Nothobranchius furzeri: one gene and its partners. The protein of the gene in region 1 interacts with the protein of each later gene in a biochemical or structural test. Links are inferred from orthologs where the notes say so. Each region holds a gene or a part of one and is shown in the gene's direction. Other genes may lie near its edges.

Region 1 (7,559 bases):
GTGTTTTTCTTTTTGAGCCTCTGGTAGTTTGTCCTAAAGTTGAAGTGGTAGCAGCCTGCTGTATCTCCTTCTGTCATATTACTGAGCGGAGAACCTCTCACATCAGTGGTGTTCTGTTGCAAAATGCAGAAAAGCTAAATGAGCGGAGGACCCAAGTAAACGCAGAAGTGTGGCAGTTGGGCGAGACTGACAGAATGCCCAGCTTTTGGTCTGAGTCGCATCATTGCTTGAGGATTTTAGACACATGCGAGAGATTATTCATTTCTTTTTGATTTTTAAAATTTCCTCAAATGATGTATAGCTATAAAATATGAGAATGTTGCTAAAGACATGAAAAAATGTTTAAGCTAGCTGGTTTTGCAGGTTTAAGCTCTAAGAAAGCAGTTCGCTCATAAATACGAAGGTACTCAAGTAGGTTCGCTCCTACTAGCCCCGTCACCAGTGTGGGTAACTGCACCTACATTGTTAGTGACTCATATTCTTGGTATTATAAGTAGAGTGCGAACAGAAAGTGAGCCGTGCAACAACAGAGAGGTTTTAGCTGCATGCCAGCATGCAGCAGCAGCAGCTGCTCGCTCTGGCCTCAAGTCAATTAGCTCCAGTTGCTCAAACGTGACTCCTCGACCGCTTTCAGAATCTGACAGAAGTTTCAACAAGATTATTGTTTTATTGTCGTTGTTCCTGAAATTTCTTATGGATTTCTGCCGTTTTCAAATAAAATGTTACGAGTCCCCATGAAAGACGATCACAGAATTTACTTTTTTTCCATCAGTCGGAGTCGCTTCACAATGATGTTAGACTAAAACAAGATCGGTTCCTCTACATTTCACAAAACTAATTTCAGAGCAACATCTGCCAAAGTACCGTCATTTTGTTTTCATCAAAGAGTTATTTAGTAGTTATGGATTCCCTCCTCAGATCAGTCTTTCATCTTCACAGAGAAACACAACAAAATGACTTTAGTTTTATCTTTCAGGAAATCTAGAGAGGTCCTTCCATAGAATAATTAACATTAAACCCTGCCTAATAAGTGCAAAAATGCACATGAATAATTGTTGTGTTCATTTGATACATTTTGGGTCAAGATATTTCCCAGAGTGTTGGTGCATTCAAGCAGATCTCCCCACCCTTCTGTGTCCTCACACATCAGCTGATGGTGGAGCTCCTGTCACCAGGTTCTCTGACGTGTCCTCCCCAATGGGTGGAAATCAGAGCAACAACAACAAAAACAACCTTCCTGGAGGTGGTGATGGCCCTGGTATCAATTATTGGAACAAAGGAACTGAGCAGTGCTGGCTTTTACAGCAGAACGTTATGAAATCTCAAAAACAGACGAAAACAAATCTATGAAATAAGAAAAGAGTTAAATCATCTTGTTTCATCTTCCTGATTTATTCAGAAAACAAAACATCCAAAACCTCTACGAAAAAGAATTAGTCTTGATGTAGAATTTGTAAAATATGGTATAAAATTCAATAAAGGCTCCTTTTAACATTCATCCAATAAAAATTTAAATAAATGTCCAGTCTTTTGAAAACAAACTAGTCAGCGATTTTTAAACATGAGTTTCTTCTTTTAAAGACCAAGTTCGGGTCTCTAGTAGAAATTAATGCCTTGTGAGTTGATCGCTGTGGGGGAAAAAAAGCTCTGGCGCTCCTGTTTCAGGAAGAAGTGAGGAGAGGAGACAGAGCAAAAGAGGACAGGATTTGTTGTTTTATTTCTGTTTGATTGGTGTCTGACTGGCTAACAGCTACATAACTCTACCTCTGACTGTTTGCTCTGCATTGTTAATGCTTTACACACAAACCACAAACCTAAAGGGCTTCTGCTGTGTGGTGGAGATGCTAATGCTTGGTGGTTGGATTGTCTTGCCTTGACATTGTGTACCAAGATGGGTGAGTCCATGAATGCTAATTTTCAGTGTGACATAGATCTGTCAGGCTTTCTTATCAAAGTGTTTTCCTGTCTGTTTGCTACTGGCGGCAAATGCAGGAAATGGGGTAGGAGACTATTTTCACATTCAGCTTGTATGTTAAACTCAGTTGGACAGATCATATTTAACAAATTACAAGTAAAAATTGGTTTCTTTTTGAACTTGGGCTTTAAACTATTTAATGTTAGCTGGATGTTAAACCAGTCCCAGTAATAATTTACCCATGGGGGAAATGGATAAAATAAGAAATATTACCAAGAATTGGATGCGGTTCTTTGGAAACTGCAGTTTCACATGTCTGTGAACGCATGAGGTGGGACATGTGAAACCGTGAGATTAACACCTTCACAGGAATGCTCTTTCAGATTCATTTCAGTCACTGCAGATGAAATTCTATGTCTCACATTACTGGGCTGGATGTGCTCATGTTCATCGGTCAGTTTGTGGGGGGTTAACAAACCTGGAAACATGATCATGTGTTGAAGCTTTTAACATAACCAGACTTTTCATTAACAAACTCCCCAAAAATCAGTGGATGTTTAGTTTTTTGGCTATTTTCAGAAAACAATGTTTTTGAATGGCATTGTGAATATAAGGCAGCCTTACCTTAAACCGGTTTGTGTTCAGTCAAATTTAAAAAATGAAAAGATGAAACATGTTTAAAAATTTAAAAGAGTTTTCTTCATTCAAGACTTTCAGGAAAAGAGTACAGTTTATGAAATTCTCATCTATGATTCGGATGACGTGTTGCAGATGTTTCTAAAATGCTCTCATATATAAAAATAACAAATAAATAAATAAATCAGACATCAGGTCATCATCCAGAGTCCAGCAGCAGCTGTTTACTGGCAATAAAGACCACGATGATGATGACGGAAAATATTTTTTGTCTGACTCTTGTGTCTCACTTTCCCTCACACACACACACACACACTCACACACACACACACACACACACACACACACACACACACACACACACACACACACACACACACACACACACACACACACATACACATACACACGCACACGCACACACGCACACGCACACGCACACACACGCACACGCACACATGCATACATGCACACATGCATGCCTACATAGAGACAGAGAGAGAGAGAGAAAAGAAAGAAAGAAAGAGAGAGACAGAGAGAGAGTAGAGAGGGAGGGGGGAGAAAGAAAGAAAGAGAGGGGAGAGAGAAATAGAGAGAGGAAAGAAAGAGAGAGAGGGAAATGAAAGAAAAGAGAGATAGAAGAGAAAGAGAGAGAGAGAGAGAGAGAGAGAGCGAGAGAGAGAGAGAGAGAGAGAGAGAGAGAATATTAGATGCCTGTTGAGATTTTGATGTTAGGAAAACAAATGAAGTGCAATGACGTGTTGTGTTCAAGTTGTGTAAAAATTATAATTTTTATAAAGTCCTACTGATCTGAACAAGATTTATAGAAAAAAAAATACAAAAAGTATTCAGGTTTTGCGAGGTTATACGATAGTTTTACCTCAGATGCAGTCTTCCAGGGGTCTCTGCCCTGCTGTGTTATAGTTTGTTTAGTTGTGTTAGTTATTGGAAACCAAAAGGCAATATCATGGCTCCAAAAGAAGACAAATGTTATGGTTCCTTTTTATTGGACAAATGATGTCAGAGACACTTCATGTATGTTTTTCAAGACTTCTAAAACACATTTCATGTTAAATATTTGTGTTGAAAAACATCGAGCATATGACTGAATCAGAGCATTTTACTAATACCGTTTCACATATTTGTGCTGGACTAGGATTAGTGTGTTTCTCGGGTCATTTAGATCAGTACTGAAGATATAAAGTAACTAAACTGTTCTGATGCTGAGACTGCTGTGAGCTCAACTCTATCAGGTCTAGTAAACGCTGAAATCATGTCTGGGTTCTCTGATAAAAGCTCATGAGTACAAATCTTTCCTGTTCCGATCTCATGAAAGAGGAGATTCATTTCAGATGAATCCTGAATCTCAGCGCAGGAGTTCTAAACGCTCATGATTGGATAAGATACGTTTTTTGAGCTGATGAGTCTGGATGTAAAGAGGTTCAGTCTTTTCTTTTTTGTGTGTGATGACGTGTTTGATCCCTCAGAGTTGAACAAGGACTCAACAGCTGACTCTTTGATTTGTGATGATGGACTTGACTGTCGTTTTTATTGCTTCCTCTTTATGTTTCGTCCCCTTTACACACACACTCACACCCGACTGCACCATTGGTCACTTGGGTCGTGGCCCCGCCTCCACACTGACTGCTATATAAACCCGGACCAAGCCAAAGCAGCTGAGGTTACACAGACTGGCCCTTTAAACGCTCTGTCATTTTACTATGTTCTGGTCAGATGAGTTTGAGATTTGCGAGTCGTCCTAGGAGACACTTCATGAGGATTTCCTTCTAAAGTCTGATATCAGAGGAGTGTCACAACAAAAAGACTTTCTGCTGCTGCTTTCAGGGAGTCGTTCAATGGATTTGTCAGATTTTCATTTCCCTCTTTCATCTACTGATGACCTCTATGACCCCTGCTTCAGCACCAGCGACCTGAACTTTTTCGATGATTTGGATGCCCGGCTGTCACACGGCGGCCTGCTGAAGTCAGAGGACCACCTTCATCACCACGTCCCATCATCAGAGGAGGAGGACCAGCATGTGCGGGCCCCTGGAGGCCTCCATCAGGCGGGCCACTGCCTGCTGTGGGCCTGTAAGGCCTGCAAGAGGAAGACAACGCACGCAGATCGGAGGAAAGCAGCCACCATGCGAGAAAGACGGCGGCTCAGCAAAGTCAACGATGCATTTGAAACTTTGAAGCGGTGCACGGCTTCCAATCCAAACCAGCGTCTGCCCAAAGTGGAGATCCTACGGAACGCCATCAGCTACATCGAGTCTCTGCAGGCGCTGCTGCGGGCCGGCCAGAACGACAGCTTCTACCCGCCGCTGGAGCACTACAGCGGGGGGTCGGACTCCCCCGGCACCCACTCCAACTGCTCCGACGGCACGGTGAGTCTGGGAACAGCTGAAGGGTTCATGTGCTGCCCCACGAAATGTAAGGAATGTGACGGGAGATTTATTTTGGGCCACGGTGATTAATCTGGACAAATGCAACCTTTAGCATGGATCCCAGTGGATTTCAAATGTTTTGCACCTAAACAGAAAGTTTGTCAAAATGTTGTCTTTCAGTTACAAAAAAAATCTTTTTTTGTTTTATTACTACAGAATTGACTAATATTAAAGCAAAAGGTGTTATTTGATGCTGAAGTTATTTATTTCAGGCTGAAAACTTTATGTGCTTTACTTGATTTGGGTGGTGGTGAGTATTATCAGCTTACTGTTGATGTGTCATATTTACCAAAATGTTATTTGTCATCTCTAATCCCTGGACCGTTCTTCTGACTTAACGTAACATTTTTATCATTTTCATCATTTCATTGAGCAAGTAGCGCACATTAGAGTACCAGGAGGGGAAATGTTTAACTCTGTGAGAGTTACCGTGGACAAAAACCAACATTGTTGATTTAGTTGTTTTTTTAATCAAATCAAATTCTTCTCTTTCTAAATAATAAACTGAACACCAGTTTTTGTTTTATTTACACATTTAAAAACAACATATTATATATACATATTATATTTAGACATCTCAACTTTATGATGTGGGGTGAGAGCACATCTTTAATAATAATAAAATTAATCTTTTTTTTTTACAGTGCAAGACATGTTCTAAAGAAATCACTAAATTATACTCATTAAATCCAACCAGTGTGTGTGTGTGTAATCACAGAGCTGTTGTTAATCATAAGATTTGTTTTAACTTGAACATATTACTTATTCAAAACAGTGCTAAAAATTAATAATTTTAATGAACTTTTGAACCTGAAATGTCTCTTTTTGTCCATCTCTACGTGTTGTGGGTGTGAGTCTGAGTAAAGCTGAGGTTTTAAACACTCACTGATGATTACGTTTTATTTTCAGGCGGATTTCATCTCACCATGTTCGAGCAGAAGTGAAAACAGCGATTCTTCTTATGTCAGACAAACAGACGGTGAGCTCATTTAGCACGTCTCTATCTACCGGAGTCAAAATGTGTGCATCTGCTACTTTACATTAGATTTCATATTATTAACATTAACAAACAGATCCAAGGGTCAGGACATTTCTTTAGTCTTTTATTTCAAAGATCTCTTCTTAAATAGAACTTCTTTTTTATTTAAACTCTTTTTGCTAATTTCGTATAAAATAGAAACAATTCTGAATTAATTCATTAATTCACATTTTCTTTATTTTTAAAAGTTTTTCATGAATATGTCTAGCTTTAGACACTCTTCTTTGATGTTTTCACTCTATGCTGTCATTTTTTGTTTATTCACATTTTTTAAAGACATATCTTCCCTTTGCCCTCTGAATGCCTTACCAGTAGGTACAGTCCCACAACGATTTTTAAATAGATGTGTGCTTATGAACCATAAACTTTGCATGTTCTTATCTTACAGTTCATGTCATTTTGAGACTCAGACCAACCTTTCAGTTTAAAAATATGAAGACATGAGAATGGATAAAATGAGGAAAGCAATTGCTAATATGGTTTTTATAAATAAATAAATAAATAAATAAATAAATAAATAAATATATATATATATATATATATATATATATATATATATACATATATATATATATATATACATATATATATATATACACATATGGCTGCATGGTGGCGCAGTGGGTAGCACGAAGGTTGCAGGTTCGAAACTCAGCTGCAGCCTTTTTGCGTGGAGTTGCGTGCTCTCCCCATGCATGCGTGGGTTTCCTCCGGGTACTCCGGTTTCCCCCACAGATCACAACATGCCCTATAGGTTATAAATTGTAAGTCGCTTTGGATAAAAGCGTCTGCTAAATGAATAAACATAAACATCAACATAAACACACACACACACACACACACACACATATATATATATATATATATATATATATATATATATATATATATATACATATATATATATATATATACACATATAAGACAAAACAATCGGCCCATATCGGCTGTCCTTAATTAAAGGTTCAAATCCCACTGCCTCCAATTGCCAAACAAATAAGTGACAAAACATGTAAGCATACTTAAGAAAATCTACCTGACATAAACTTTTCTTGAAGTCTAACTCTTTTTGTTTCTTCTCTGCAGACTGCAGCAGCAATAAAACATCGCTCATTTCCAGTTTGGACTGCTTGTCCAGCATTGTAGAGCGCATCAGCACAGACCCAGCTGTGGGCCCCACAGGAGACAGCGTGGTTCCCCGGGGCCCCGGATCACCTCATAACACCCCCACCATCTCCACTACTTCACCCGCTGACCCCAGCAGCATCTATGAGTCGATTTCCACCTGATGACTCATTTTCCTCTGAAACAAACTTCTTATAAATCCCTTCTAGAGGGAAACACAACATTATTCCTGATTGCTGAAGAAAATAACTGAAATACGAACTTGTAGATTGAAATCTTTGTGTTTTTGTTGTGTTTCCCTGAAATTTGAGTTGATTTTTTCAGTTTCCAGCTGATAAAATGAATGCTGCTGTCTGTTTTTTTTACAAAAAGGAGGGCTTTTCCACGCTGAATCCTG
Region 2 (7,367 bases), on another chromosome or scaffold:
TGACAGACTCATGCTTGGAGGTGCAGCTGTTGGTGTACAGGGAGAAGAGCAGAGGGGAAAGAACACAGCCCTGTGGTGAGCCGGTGCTGATGGTCCGTTGGTCCGAGACATTCTTCCCCAGCCTGACTTGTTGTTTCCTGTCTGTCAGGAAGTCAGTGATCCACATGCAGATGGGGTCAGGCACGTTCATCTGGGACATTTTGTCTTGGAGGAGGTCTGGCAGGATTGTGTTGAGTGCAGAGCTGAAGTCCACGAACAATATCCTGGCGTAGGTACCTGGGGAGTCCAGATGCTGCAGGATGAATTGTAGAGCCATGTTGATTGCATCATCTACAGACCTGTTTGGTCTGTATGCAAACTGCAGGGGGTCCAGGAGGGGGGCTGTGAGGGTCTTGAGGTGGGGGAGAACTAGGTGCTCAAATCAAATCAATTTCCCTCTGGGATTAATAAAGTATTTTTGAATTGAATTGAAATGACTTCATGACCACAGATGCAGTCCTTTAGTCCAGTGATTCTTGGTTTCTTGGGGACAGGGACTATGGTGGAGATCTTGAAGCAGGCAGGCACATGAGATTCCTCCAGTAAGGAGTTGAAGATGCTCGTAAACACTGGGGCCAGCTCTTCAGCACAGTGCTTTAGAGTGGCAGGAGCCACGCCATCAGGGCCCGGGGCTTTTCGTGTGTTAAGAGACCTGAACTGCTTCTTTACATCTGCTTCATGAACGAGTAGATTTGTGGTGGAGGTGTGTGATGTGAACACCTCGTGAGTGGGGGGGGGGGGGGGGGGGGGTGATGAAGGTGCTGGTGATGGCTCTGTAACGGGGAGTGGCTGACCAATGAGCTCAGCCAGAAACCAAAGCTCTTATAAGCCATTCTTAATCCCATTCATCACTCATGGTCATGAGCTTTGGGTAATGACCAAAAGACCAAGACCATGAATGCAAGCAACTGAAATGACTTTCATCTGTAGGGTGGCTGATCTCAGCCTTGAGATATGATGCCGAGCTCAGACAACTGAGTAGAGCCACGGCTCCTCCACAGAGAGGAACGAGCTGAGGTGGTCTGGGCATTTCATCAGAATGCCTCCTACAACGTCACAGGCGAGGAATTCCAGGAATGTGATACTGACAGAAGGTTCCCAGGTTAACTAAGTAAATTGTAATTTCTCATCCCTTGTCCGTTTTATCATTTTGGTGTATTTTGCAGTGTATCTGTAAAGTGCTTTGGTCAGCTGTCATGCTGTTTTTAAATGTGCTATGGAAATAAAGCTAGTATGGTATGGATTAGGGATGCGCCAATACCGTTATCGATACCAGGAATCAATGCCAATGCAGTTGCCTGAAAGTGGCTTCACTGTAACTTGTCATTTCTGTTCACCTAATATTTTAGTTTTGTGATCATTTCCATTAATATATTTTATTTTTTAATCTACCTCACACACTTTTCCTGTTGAAAGAAAAGAAAATAAAACCTGTATTCCAATTCATTGCATTTTATTGTGTGGTAGAAGTATCGGTGTAGGCGAGTACTCAGATCCAAGAATCGGTATCGTATCTGTTTGGGAAAAAGTATTGGTGCAACCCTAGTAAGGATCCCACCAGTGGAAATAGCTGGACAGAGGATAATTTGGACCTCTCTTCAATCCCAGCGACCCAAATCTAACTAAGAATAAACTATTTATAAACACTGACCTAAACTATAGTGCTCAGATGCTGATCTTGATTCCTTCACCCTTGAATTTCCTCACGGGACACCACTAACTTTAGAATTTAAAAACACACCTAAACATACTTAAACCATTAAGCTGTTATAATAAATCTGCAAACATGCTAGGTTTCGAACCCAAACACAGTCACAGAACACTCACCCCTTCCCTCGGGTATCTTCCCTGAGACGCAACCTGCGATACCATACCACTTTAATTATAGAGCGCTTTTAACACGGCATTACAACCGACCAAAAGCTGCACATGTTAATGCCGCACGAAACGAGACATGGCCAAACACCAGTAACCGTTTTCTAGGTCCAAACAGCTTTTGTCTGTGACATAAAATGGAGGGTTTTTTTTAGGCTCTGGCAGTTTGTCCAAAAGTTGAAGTGGTAGCAGCCGGCCGTTTCTCCTCCTCTGATACTACTGAGCCGCGAACCTCTCACACCAGCGGTGTTCTGTTGCCAAATATGCGAGTGCGTAACGAATAGAGGCCCCATGGTCGTGCAGGAGTTCAGCGGTTTGGAGACCAACAACTGATGGTTCAATAGTTGCTTCTGGTCCTAAATGTGTTATTTGCTGAGGTTTTTAGACAAATGTGAAAGAACCACTTTATTTATTTATTTCATCTCCACAGTTTCTTTATTTCTTTAACATATCAGAACTTGTTAAGAGGCATGAAAAAAGGTTTTAGACACATTTGTTTGTTTGTTTTAATGTAACTTTAAGTCTGGTGAAACCACATTTACAGTTTCCCCACTCTTCCTTTGATGATGTGTAACAAAGTTAAATGTTGGAAACGTTTAAAGTAAAGATGACTGCTTCTTGGAAGCTGAAACAGGTATTTTACATCAGCAGAGGCTTTAGAGGAGATGATGCGCTAAAGTTTGCGTTGCTGCTTTAGGCTGTAGCCCCGCCCCCTGAGCAAAAGGAAGACAGGCGGAAAAAAAAGTGCGACGAGAGGCCGAAATCAAACCGACTGACTTGGTTTCCCCACATCACAAGCACCCGTGGGCAAAGAGTCTGGGTCTGGACCCGGCCCTGTCCACCTCTGACCCGGTTCTGAACGAGTTAGAGACGTGGCAGGAGAAGAAGCATGCCTCGCTGAAGTGATCTCACCTGCCGCTGAAACACGGAGAGGAGAAACGGGCGAGGTAGGTTCGTGTTTCTGGACTCTCGGATACAGGAAACTACAGCTGGGTCGTGTTGGTCACCTTAACTCTGGACATCTGGAGTTTGGGCTGGACAGATGCGTTAAATAAAAGTTGCAGTCGGTGGTTTGTCCTCCGCCAGCGGCCGTAGTTGTCAGCTATCCCTCCGCCACGTTGGGGCACATGTCTGAGGAGGAGAAACTAGCCGTCGGCCTGCTGTTGCTCCACTTTTCTTTTAGTTTAATCAACAAAGAAGAGTCGTGGAGTAGCACCACGTGTCTGTCCTGGCCTGGACCGGCCTGCTGACTCTGCCCACGGGCCTGCTTCTCCGTGGGTCGGTCTGATAGATCCGTAAAAATGAATGGAGGTCAGCTTCTGTTGATCATTTAATTACTGATTTGCTGTTATCGGTATGCTGCCAGTTCAATTAAACTCCCAGCTGGGCTGAAGCTGGTCAGATGTTATTGAAAGAAGGGGAAACATAAATGTTTAAATTAAAGGTGCAACATGGAAGAAGGAAGTAGGAATGACATCCTATGGTCAAAATTGGTTACTGCAGCCCATTTTCAAGACACACTGGTCTGGTATGGCGTCGTCACATCTGGCCTGTAGAGCCCTGCACGGGCCTAAAATCTGAGCCCGTGTCCGGCCCGTGGAGCCCCAGCCCGACCCGGTCCGAAAAGGTTTTCAGGATTCTCTGGCCTGAGCCCAATTTTGTTTTTTAACCTTTCATAATGTTTTAGCGTGATAGAATGCTCAGCATTCTAATTATCTGTGAGAAGCATTCTGCAGTAAAAAAAATAAATAAATAAAAAGAAAAGAACAAAAAAACAGCATTCAATGCAGCTTTTTTTTCTAACAGAGCGTATTTTTTGAGCGGCAGATGAAATTTACGAACACTATATTAATTGGATGCGTTTGTAAATTTAATCTGCTCTGAAAATGCGCCCTTGTGCAATTAGAAAAAAAAGCAGCATTCTAATTTTCTAACTGCAGAGCGCATTTTCAGAGCGGCAGATTAAATAAACACCCCCAATTAATATAGTGTTTGTAAATTTAATCTGCCGCTCTGAAAATGCGCTCGCCAGTTAGAAAAAACAACAACAATGAATGCTGTATTTTTTTAACTGCAGAGCGAATTTATTCACAGAAAAATAGAATGCTGTCATTTTCTTGAGAATAAACAAATGGTTTCTGACATATCAAAGTGGACATAAAATGGCATATTAGAATAGGGGCACATGTTTCAGTCAGCCGTTTATATAGGCGCATTAATAAACCACACAGACCTTAACTGAGCTAACGGTGCCGGTGCGTGAGAAGCAGGCAGGTGCTGCTGCATTCAAGTGTTTCAATTTTTTTTATGAATTTGATTAAAAATAAAGGCGCCTGGCCCGGCCCGTGTCCGAGGTAATTACGCAGTCGTTGGCCCGAAGCCCGGCCCTCGGGCCGTCGGACCGGGCCGACCTGAGGGCCTAGGGCTTCATTGCAGGGCTCTACTGGCCTGGTCCGGTCTCGGTAGAGTCGGCCCACCCCTGCATGGCCAGTTTTTGTTCACATAGCCTTCTCAGAGCGAATGCCTCAGAGCACGTGGGCCAGGTGGGTGTTTTACTCACGTTGGTAAGCAAAAGTAGCCGTGAGCAGTGATATGAAGCACACCGTTTCCTACTCTCACGCCGATACTGCTGCGTGCTCCTCACAGCAGTCTGTCTGACCAGCAGTCAGAGATGTTTACAAATATGGGAAGCCTCTGCTGGCTAATTCTACCAACCAATCAGAGGCTCCCTCTATAGGTAGGTGTGAACTTCAGCTGGCCAATCAGTCGTATTTGGTGTGTTGGCTCAGTTTTCCATGAAATAGACTACTGGGGAGAAGCTCCAAAAAAAAAAAGCTGAGCATGGAAAACGACTACCCAGATGTGCCTATCAAGATGTGAAAGCCCAATTGCTCAGGGTCAGAGTTCACCCTAACCCATTCTCCTGCCAGAGAAAGAATGCTGCTGTTGTGTATTTACTTAAACCACCTCTCCTGCTGGTGGTGGTTGGAGGAACTGGTGGCGCCTAGACTCAGCAGCCCCTCCTGTCAGTAGCTACGTTGATTTTACAGACGTTGCGCTACAATTTCAGGTGTTGGCGCTCTTTTGCTCCGCCCACATGCTTATAGATGCGCTCATGACATCACAGGCCCCAGACCGCCTATGTTCTCAATCACATCTATATTCTCAAGGCAGTGTGGGACGAACACAGCCAGGCTGGGGTGGGCGGAGTGGAGTGGAGCTGATGCTAGTGTGTAAGTGGCACAAGTCCAACAGGTGGCAGCCCACCACACTGAAGTTGCAAGTGCGGTATTGACCCTGTGCACGTGACGTCACGCCACTCATGTGACCGCCCCCTTCACCATGATGGACGGCAAAAAGACCGTTTACACCCGTAGAAACTCCAGTGAAGCTAGTCAAAACAAGCCAGTTTGTAGCCTTTTATAGCTTTTATTTAGTTGATTCGACAGTAAAATGGTTTTAGCTTGCTGCGTGGTCGGCTGCACTAACAGACAAGGATGTAAAGTCAACTTGTTTTGTTTTTTTATTAACTTTGATGGAGACTGAGGACGGAGATGAACTGCAGCGATCAATCAAGCGGACTAGCAGGTCTCAGATTTGCAGCGAACATGTTTTTACCGGGTAAGATTAACGTTCATTTATTTGACGAGGAAGACGGGGACAGGGGTAAATGTGATGTGTTTATACAAGTTATTGATAATCCTGATGGACGGGTATTTCACCACGGAGGCTGCGCTCCGTCCACTGTAGTGTAAAGCGAGACGATTATTAACAATATTAAAGCTCCGATGTATGATTACGTGTGTTAAAATTACGTTATTTATTTATATGAGCGTCGGCGTTCAGAGATCTTCTCATTCCGGTGTGAAAGCAGCAGCTGAACCCGGTAACACCACCAGCAACAGAAGCTGGTAGGGATCCGGACTTTTTAAAAATCAGCTTTGGTGTAAAGTGAAACGCTGTTTATAACATAATTTTATAAATCCAGAGGGGTGAATTTAGGCAAAGTCAGCAACATGTTTACATCGGTGAACAGCTGCAGAGAGAACGTAAGCTAACGTTGGTAAGCTTGTTAACACACCGCTCTCTATGAGCCCCCGCTAGATGCGCTACTTCTTCTGATAACTGAACTGGGCCTGAACTAGTTGAAGGAATGCTGGAGGAGTTTTGTTTTTGTTTTGATCGCTAAAACAATTTCAGGCTCTACTTTTCCCTTTGTTTTGTAATCGTGTCGCTCACTGTTTACATGCTTTTGCCGTCCACGTGATTAGGTGGCGTCGGTGCAAAGGGTCAATTCTTGCCAGAGGGGGCAGTGGGGGTCTGAGTGACATTTAATGAACCTTGTAAAGGGTCTTTTAGCACATACTGGCTCAAGAAAATAATTTAAAAATATGATAAAGTTGCATAGTATCCTAACAAAGATCCACCTGTAAAAAGATTGTGAACTATCATACACCGTGATTTAGTATTCTTGTCATTAATAATAAAACAAAAATCGGCTAAAAAAACACAACATGTTTTACTTTGTTTACTTTGAAAAATACTGGATGCAACTTGCTGAAACAAGGCTCACTTCCTGTCTGGCTCCTGTCATTTATTTAACTTCATGACACTCTGCATGCAGTGTGCAGAAGAAAAAAAAAACGCCATGCAGAAACTTTCAGGAGCTCCACATCTGGACCGCACCACAGCCAGTGTGAACGTTCTGATTGGGCTCAATGATTTTTGGACTTTAAGGAAACTGGACCGTATCCGTTCATCCTTCGGTGTGAATGAGGCTTCACTGACTTGCAAGAATCTTCTTACATGTTTAATCTCATCTGTTTGTAACAAATATCTGTAAAGATGATCCAGACGGGACACAGTTGATCTGATTTGACTTTTATAGATGCATTAAGACATCCTGTGATCAGAATGGCCACTATTGAGCATGATCAGCTCCACCAGTGACTTGTCTATAAATACATCCCTGCCAAGCAGCAACCTGACGGCTAATAATCTCAACACTTGTCCTGGTCTGTGAATCCACCGTCACTAAATGCTACGTAAAGCTAGCAATAACAGAGCTGTGGGGGAGTTTTTACTTCTAAAATGCTAACTTTCAAGTACATTTCAAGTAAATAAGAACCCACCGACCCACAGAACCAGAATAAATGAATCTCTTATTAGATACTGCTGCAGCAGGTTAAATTCTCATCAGGTAAAATAGTTTAAATAAGCATTTTCTGCTCTTTGCAACATGGAGCAGAGAGCTAAAGAGAGTTTATCAACCAAATGATTGTTTTTTTTCTTTAAAGCAGCATGCCAGCCCCTCTAATTGTTCACACACACACACACACACACACACACACACACACACACACACACACACACACACACACACACACACACACACACACACACACACACACACACACACACACGCACACACACACACACACACACACATCAAC
Region 3 (7,386 bases), about 140 kb from region 1:
TTTCTCTCTGTCTCTTTCTCTCTGTCTCTCCCTCTGTCTGTCTGTCTCTCTCTCTGTCTCTTTCTCTCTCTGTCTCTCTCTCTCTCTCTTTCTCTCTCTGTCTCTCTTTATGTCTGCCTGTCTCTCTCTTTGTCTCTCTCTGTCTCTCTCTCTTTCTCTCTCTGTCTCTTTCTCTCTCTGTCTCTTTCTCTCTGTCTCTGTCTCTCTTTCTCTGTCTGTCTCTTTCTCTCTGTCTCTTTCTCTCTCTCTCTCTCTCTTTCTCTCTCTCTGTCTGTCTTTCTCTCTGTCTGTCTCTCTCTTTGTCTCTCTCTGTCTCTTTCTCTCTGTCTCTCCCTCTGTCTGTCTGTCTCTCTCTCTGTCTCTTTCTCTCTCTCTCTCTCTCTCTTTCTCTCTCTCTGTCTCTTTCTCTCTGTCTCTCCCTCTGTCTGTCTGTCTCTCTCTCTGTCTCTTTCTCTCTCTCTCTCTCTCTCTTTCTCTCTCTCTGTCTCTTTCTCTCTGTCTCTCCCTCTGTCTGTCTGTCTCTCTCTCTGTCTCTTTCTCTCTCTGTCTCTCTTTATGTCTGCCTGTCTCTCTCTTTCTCTCTCTCTGTCTCTCTCTCTGTCTCTCTCTCTCTCGTCCCCATAGTGAATCAGTAGTAGACGTACACACAGATGCTGGTTTGTGTATAATCATATTATAAGGTGGACTTTAAATCTGTTGTTTGTTTTTAATTTGTCGTCCAGTCTCTGATGACCACCCCTAAAGGGAGCGGGCTCCCCCAGCACAGCTTCTTTCACACGCCGGTCCCCCTCTCGCCTCTGGCTGCCGTGGTAACCAACAATGGACACCAAGCTACCAAAGCTGTTAACATCCCCCAGAGGAAGCTGGACGTGTCCCCTGATGACTCCTGATCTGTAGAGGGGTGGGGCTTGTTCTTAGTGGTGAATGGGTGTGTTTTTGTTACTCTGGTCTGTTTAACAGTTTCCAGTATTCATGAGCTCTGAAACATTTCCCAGCATCCTGATGGAGGTGGTTGTTATCACAGCCATCTCTGACTTTGGCTCAGGACCAGAGGCATTATGGGAAATGGCACGAACGCTACTATAGCGCTCTGTGCGATCCGATGGATTTCCCAGGCCTCGATTAGCCTCTAGTGTTTGCACAAGATGTTTTTTATGGTCTGGATGACACAAAAGTATTTTCCTCACAGGATCAGTTAAAGCTGCGTCATCGCTTTAGTGAATGCGAGATCACTTTTGCACACGTGTACATGTTGATGCCACCCTTGAACTAAATAGTTAAACATATGTGAATATTTCATGCATTCTGGGAATATAAGTTGACATGTGATGGGTTTAATTTATAAGAGTGATTCTGTGTGATCTCCTGCTCTTTGTTAAATGTTGAATAAATTTTAATGGGATTTTTCTAAGAACATCAGATCTCTTGTTCTTTATCGGGGGCGTGTTTTATTTTAACACCCATAGTTCCCACAGCCGTGGGTACTGCAGGTGTAAGTGTATATTTACTTGATAGTTCTGACTTTCTAATGTAATTTAGAATACAATCATTCCTACTTTTGATATCTCCCTCAGCCTGAACCTAAACCTAGTAACGGCAACAACTACCATTAGTATTTGTGAAAACTGGTGACGAGTCTCGCGTCACCGTGGAGAACTTTAGTCCCACGCTGCTTTAGAGAACTGTTTCAGTGCGTTTACATGCAGCCAGTAAGCCTTTTAAAACACGAATATTCACAATCGGACACGTTGAGGGGGTTTCCATCAAGAACGTCCTGTTTAGGGTCAAAGGTCAGACATTCTCCTTCAGGTAGAGAGCAGAATTCATTGTTCTGTCAGTCAGCAGGTGGTCCAGGTCCTGAAAGAGACCCAGACCACCACACCACCACCTCCGTGTATGCAGTGCTAGTTTTACAGCAGTACAGGACACTTCCTGGAGATCATCAGGAGGTTTTCTGGCAAAAGTGAGACAAGTCAGCATCATATCTTCCATGGAACCATTTTCTGCTGCCTTTTTCTTACTGTTGAGTCATGACCGCTGACCTTAACTTCAACTGTGTGAGGCCTGCTTTTCTCCAGATGTTCTTGCGGGTTCTTTGTTCTTGAATCTCATCAGTACAGAGCGTCACATTTGAGATCTTTTAGCCTACCTCATGATGTCAGACGGCTTGTTGAATTGATTGATTTTTGCAGGTCTGGGTTTCACTGGTGAGATGGAGGTCAGCATTCCAAATAATCACAGTTAGTCTGAGATTTAAACTTACAACCTGGTTGGTTCTGAGCCCTTTTCCTCATAATTTAAATGATTAGAAAACAGTGTTTAGTATTTATTCAGGTTACCTTTTTTGTTGATCTGATGCATTTAAATGTGACATTGATTCTATTTTTTATCAATCTTCACATTTTGTACCAACAAAAACAAGCAGCTTGACCCTGAATCCGAACGGCTGTTGTCTCACCTGATGCAGATATCTATGAACAACAGCTTTCTTTAGACGTTTCATGCGTCCAAAGTAATATCTGTTTCTTGGTGCTCAGACCTGCTGTGTCGATTCCAGAACAATCCTGTCAGACCGCACACCGATGCTTTGTGCTGCAGCTGTCAGAGGAATGAGTCTAGAACAAATGCTGGAGCGTCTGATGTTCTGGTCTCTTTCAGCTGATGATAAAGGGTCAAAGGACTCTGACAGTTATTTTTGGAGGAGGCGTCACCGTGATGATGAGGAGGAGGAGATGAAGAGTATTTAAACCATCTAGGAGAGTTATCCGTTGCTTTAGAAGGGAGGTGCACACGACTGGACTCGAGGTGAGACCCTTTAGTTGTTAAAGCTGTGAAATGTCTTGATTCTTATTGGCTGAAGACATTTAGTTTTAGCTGTCATGCCTTTTTTCCCCCAAATGTCACATGCCAGTCCTGTGAGGTATGCTCGGATAGGAGCGGGGACTGGAATGTGACACAGGCCAGTGAGGTTTACACCCACTTCTTCAGTTTTAGGTGATCAGTCATCAGGAATGAAATGGGAAATCTTTTGGTCTTCTGTGATTTATTACTGCAATACATGGAAGTTAAAGCCACAAAATTAGTAAGATGTGGGCCAAGTTTACAGTATTTGATATCTTTCGAATGGAAAATAATTCTAGATAAATCTAGATCTTGTGACTCTTTAAACCTTCAATCAAAAATGTTCCACGGTTTTATGAAATAGTGAAAAAAACTCATTTTACTAAACTGGCGTGTTTGTCAGAGTAACAGAAACATGAATAACAGGAATAATCATTTGACCTCCAGCCCTGTGTTCTGAAGAGGAAACCACGAGTCCACGTGGATCTGTACGATGCCGACTTGGGGAGGAGGATCCAGGTGTTCAGCCTGCGAGAAGACGGTGTACCACGCAGAGGAGGTCCAGTGTAACGGACGCAGTTTCCACAAGACCTGTTTCATCTGCAGTGAGCATCCTGGTTCCTTCTGCTGGGCCCACCGAGACCTCCTGGTGGAGGAGAAACCTGGGTCTAGCCTGTGCTTTAATTATGTCATTCCTTATTGCCCGCTCCTTTCCCCTGAGAGTGTCTCTGAGCACAGATCCAGATGTATCTCTTACCTTTTGCTCTTTAGATTATTTTTGTTCTTTTAGGACATTGGACGTTAAGCTCTCCTCCAAACTGGCTAAATATTTGAATTTCTGCTGCTGCATCCTGTAATGCAGCTTCAGATCTTTTAGTCATATAATCCAGACTCCCACCAGCGCTGCAGGAACCGACCTGCTGACCCCACTCTGCAGCTTGTTGCAGTCTGTGCGGTGGATACTTTGTTCCAGTGGGAGCTCTGTGATAAACTCATCCCACCTGCTAAGAGTTCATCTTCTCTCCAACATTCCCTTCACACATCCATCTCCTTCCACAAATAGCAACACAGCCATGTGACTTAGTGCTGACTGATAAAAGCAGCTAGGTGGGAGCTTTATTTAACCTTCATCCCTCCAACAGGACATTCCTCAGTTTGGCCAAACTGGAGACATTTAATTTAAACTGGTTTTACATAAATTATTGTTTGATTTTCCTTTAGTGAGCTGCAGGAAAGGGCTCGACAGCACTACGGTTGCAGCACACGAGTCTGAGATTTACTGCAAGTCATGCTATGGCAAGAAATATGGGCCAAAAGGCTATGGATATGGACAAGGAGCGGGAGCTCTGAGTTCTGATCCTCCTGGACAGGATGCAGACCCACAGTCTCATGAGTACGTGTTTGAGAAGGCCGCCTAGTCAAGGACTCATTCCTCTAGACAGCCCAACATACACAAATGACACATCAAAGCACATTTTGACATCCCTTCATTTTGAATTTATAAACAAACTTTTTAGGTCTAAACCTCGATCGGCCTCTTCAAACCCCAACAAGTTCTCCCAGAAGTTTGGAGGCTCAGACCGCTGCCCTCGCTGCTCCAAGGCTGTCTACGCAGCAGAGAAGGTGATGGGAGCAGGAAAGGTAACAGCCATCCCTCTCTGAACATGTTGGTGTACGCACTTGTGATAAACTCTGGTGTCACTGCCAAACTTCCTTAAAGAGTTCACATCACCTCTGTTTTAGCAGCTCTACACTGGCTCCCAGTTCCCTGGGGTCCACGGCCCTCATTTATCAAACATTCATTGAGACGGTCTTATATTCAAAATAAATGTAGAACGTATGAATGGCGGCCTTTCGTATGTTCCTCCTCAATCGTCTGATGATAAATCCCACCTGTGTCATATAAATGCCCTCAATTAACCTTATTTGGTCTTGCTAAGTCTTCAGCACCTGAGGGAATTCCCTGGGCACCCCCCCCCCCCCCCCCAAATAAAAACATTGACAGCGAGATCGAGACACTGGCTGCCAAAGTGCAAAAGAACCAAACAAGTCGCACAGGTTGTAAACGCGACTGGGACAGAGGAGAGTCTCCGTCAGGAATAAATAAAAAGTTGAATATGATAAATCGTAGAGTAACGGGCTGTCATTTACATGTTACATTTAAGGAGTTGTTCTGTTTGGAGTTAGTTAAATTTGGAAATGTCGTCTGAGTGCAGCCTCTTCTGAGCTTTCATTCAGTCGGGTTACCTTGACTACGTGGCGTGTGTGATTGGGAAGTAGAGAGGCTCTCGTAGTTGTAAAATACAATATGAACTGGAATCACATCTGAGCAGTTTCTCTGTCGCGCCACAAAGGGTCTCAAATCCTAGCATAGCTCTAAGGATGTCCTTCGGGGAGATCAGTGCGCTCACGGAGGACGCCTTCCCTCGAGTGCACGCTCTGCCAAATCCTCCAACACACAACAGCCAAGATATAATGTCCGATTCCCGTCGGTCACGTGTGTCTTTTATTGGTTTTAGCACCAATTGTGCAAAAAAGCTGTTTTTCCACCGACATTATTTATTGGGTAAAATACTTTATGGATGAGGAACGTGTGTGGACAACAGAGACCTTTAGATGCTGTTCGTATGCAGGTCAGAACTGTTCTTATATTTAGGAACATTACTATGCACGAGTACAAATCGGTAAATACCACACGTGTGTAATAATCGTTCCTACGCACAAAATACGTACAGATCTGTTAGTGACTGATAAAGGAGGGTCTCCACTTTTAGATCATTAACAGTCAAGACACCTGATTATACCATCTATACATCCACAACCCAGGACACTCTCAGATCTTCAGGCCAGTGGCTACTGGTGGTGCCCTGAACTAGGTTAGGACCAGAGTTGATCAGGCCTTTCAGGGAGTGGCCCCCTCACTGTGGAACGTTTTACCACCGACCCTGCGCTCTCTAACCAATGTCGAGTCTTTTTATTGATCCTGTTGACTTTGATTTTAATTTTGTGTAGCTTTGTTTTTGCTTCTACATTTTATGTGTTTTATTTATTTTATGGTAAGTTTTGATTGTACTTCTATTAATCTTTCTGCTTTAACGCCTTATAAGTTTGTGTTTAATATTTACATCGTGTGTGTTTCAGGCCTGGCACAAGACCTGTTTCCGCTGTGCGCTGTGTGGTAAAAGCCTGGAGTCGACCACGGTGACGGACAAGGACGGGGAGCTTTACTGTAAAGGTACAAACAACCTGGTGAACACGCGGGTTTCTAATGACTGAGGTTGTTGGGCTGGGACCACAGCCGCAGCTGTTGATGTTTTACATTCTTCTCTAGTTTGCTACGCCAAACACTTTGGTCCGAAAGGATTTGGGCTGGGGAACGCAGCCATGTTGGAGGAACGGGAGTGAGGACGTCTGACTCAAACCCATTAATGGGAGCCGAGACTTCACCTTTGACCCCGGAGGATGTCAGTTACTTTAAATCTTGTTTTAAAATGACCACATGGGGAAAAAAAAACACAGAATAAAATCCATTTGTTACAACAAAAATACATTCTGAAGTGTTTTCTAGAAAGGTGCAAAATGACATAAACCTTGCTTTATTCCGTGTGGAAAGATTATGATAAGTGATCCATACTTACATGTTTCATTGTAAGAGGCTTTACACAGGGCAACATTCATCCATTCACACACACGCTGATGGAGATGAGCTACATTGTAGCCACAACTGGACACTCAGACATAAGTGCAGCTGCTGGTCCCTCTGACCACCATCAACAGGTAAAGGGGGTTAAGTGTCTTGCCCGAGGACACAACACAGCCCACTCTTCCTCCTGAGCTACTGCTGAACTCAATACTCTCAATAGAAATAAGTAAAGTCTTCTCTTAACTTTGATTATTAAAGAGCGACAATAAAAATGATTAGGAGAGATGTGTGTAAAAGCAGACAGGCACAAGATTGTTTTATTGAAGTATTATAGTGGTCATTTGTTATTAAACACATGCAGCTTTTACAAAAGTCATAAAACAAAGTGTTCACATGTACAAATATTCTCATTTTCCTCAAACCAGGTGATTAAAAACTTCCATCAACACCTTCGGTCCTCAAAGGTTCTGATTCCCTTTAGCTGGTCGAGTTTAAAGGCCATAGCAGTTTGTACAGAGATCGGCTCAAACAAACAATATCCACATGCTCGTATTGTTCTTCTGTGGTTTTACTGTAAACGGAGCCAACAGGTGGAAAATAAATAAATACATTCTGTGCTTTTGGTCCAGAACCAGAATCTGACCCTGAGTGTTTGAAGGAGAGGAGGTCAGACCATGTGGGTTTGGTCAAACAGGTACTGGTCCCGGTGGGGCTGGAACTGACTGGTCCAGTCGGTGACGGTGGGTTTGAAGAGGCCACAGCACCGCAACTGGAAAAACGATACCAGGTTCTGCACCACGCCCAAACTGCAAACAGATCAGGGTCAACAACACCTTTCTTCTTAAACATGACGCAACAACGAGTGATGCTGCCACAGCAGAACCACTGGACTCTCCCGTTTT

Evidence for each region. The genes of interacting proteins can lie anywhere in the genome.
Region 2: the proteins of myod1 (region 1) and cdk4 form a complex in vitro, tested with the Homo sapiens proteins (2 studies listed by BioGRID). The link is inferred for Nothobranchius furzeri from reciprocal best matches to the Homo sapiens genes MYOD1 and CDK4.
Region 3: the proteins of myod1 (region 1) and csrp3 form a complex in vitro, tested with the Homo sapiens proteins (2 studies listed by BioGRID and IntAct, with this or other methods). The link is inferred for Nothobranchius furzeri from reciprocal best matches to the Homo sapiens genes MYOD1 and CSRP3.

What each region holds. Positions count from the first base shown.
Region 1 is NC_091749.1:52,555,239-52,562,797, forward strand, and holds the start of myod1 (myoblast determination protein 1 homolog), read left to right. Parts: upstream 1-3,332; 5' UTR 3,333-4,407; coding exon 4,408-4,938; intron 4,939-5,907; coding exon 5,908-5,977; intron 5,978-7,123; coding exon 7,124-7,326; 3' UTR 7,327-7,559. UniProt on the Homo sapiens protein: Acts as a transcriptional activator that promotes transcription of muscle-specific target genes and plays a role in muscle differentiation. Together with MYF5 and MYOG, co-occupies muscle-specific gene promoter core region during myogenesis.
Region 2 is NC_091743.1:49,228,934-49,236,300, forward strand, and holds the start of cdk4 (cyclin-dependent kinase 4), read left to right. Parts: upstream 1-2,650; 5' UTR 2,651-2,861; intron 2,862-7,367.
Region 3 is NC_091749.1:52,410,975-52,418,360, reverse strand, and holds csrp3 (cysteine and glycine-rich protein 3), read left to right. Parts: upstream 1-2,669; 5' UTR 2,670-2,805; intron 2,806-3,288; 5' UTR 3,289-3,334; coding exon 3,335-3,446; intron 3,447-4,062; coding exon 4,063-4,234; intron 4,235-4,358; coding exon 4,359-4,482; intron 4,483-5,982; coding exon 5,983-6,076; intron 6,077-6,172; coding exon 6,173-6,246; 3' UTR 6,247-6,387; downstream 6,388-7,386. Other genes in the region: transcription factor E2F8, read left to right, coding at 723-890; putative palmitoyltransferase ZDHHC13, read right to left, coding at 7,152-7,290. UniProt on the Homo sapiens protein: Positive regulator of myogenesis. Acts as a cofactor for myogenic bHLH transcription factors such as MYOD1, and probably MYOG and MYF6.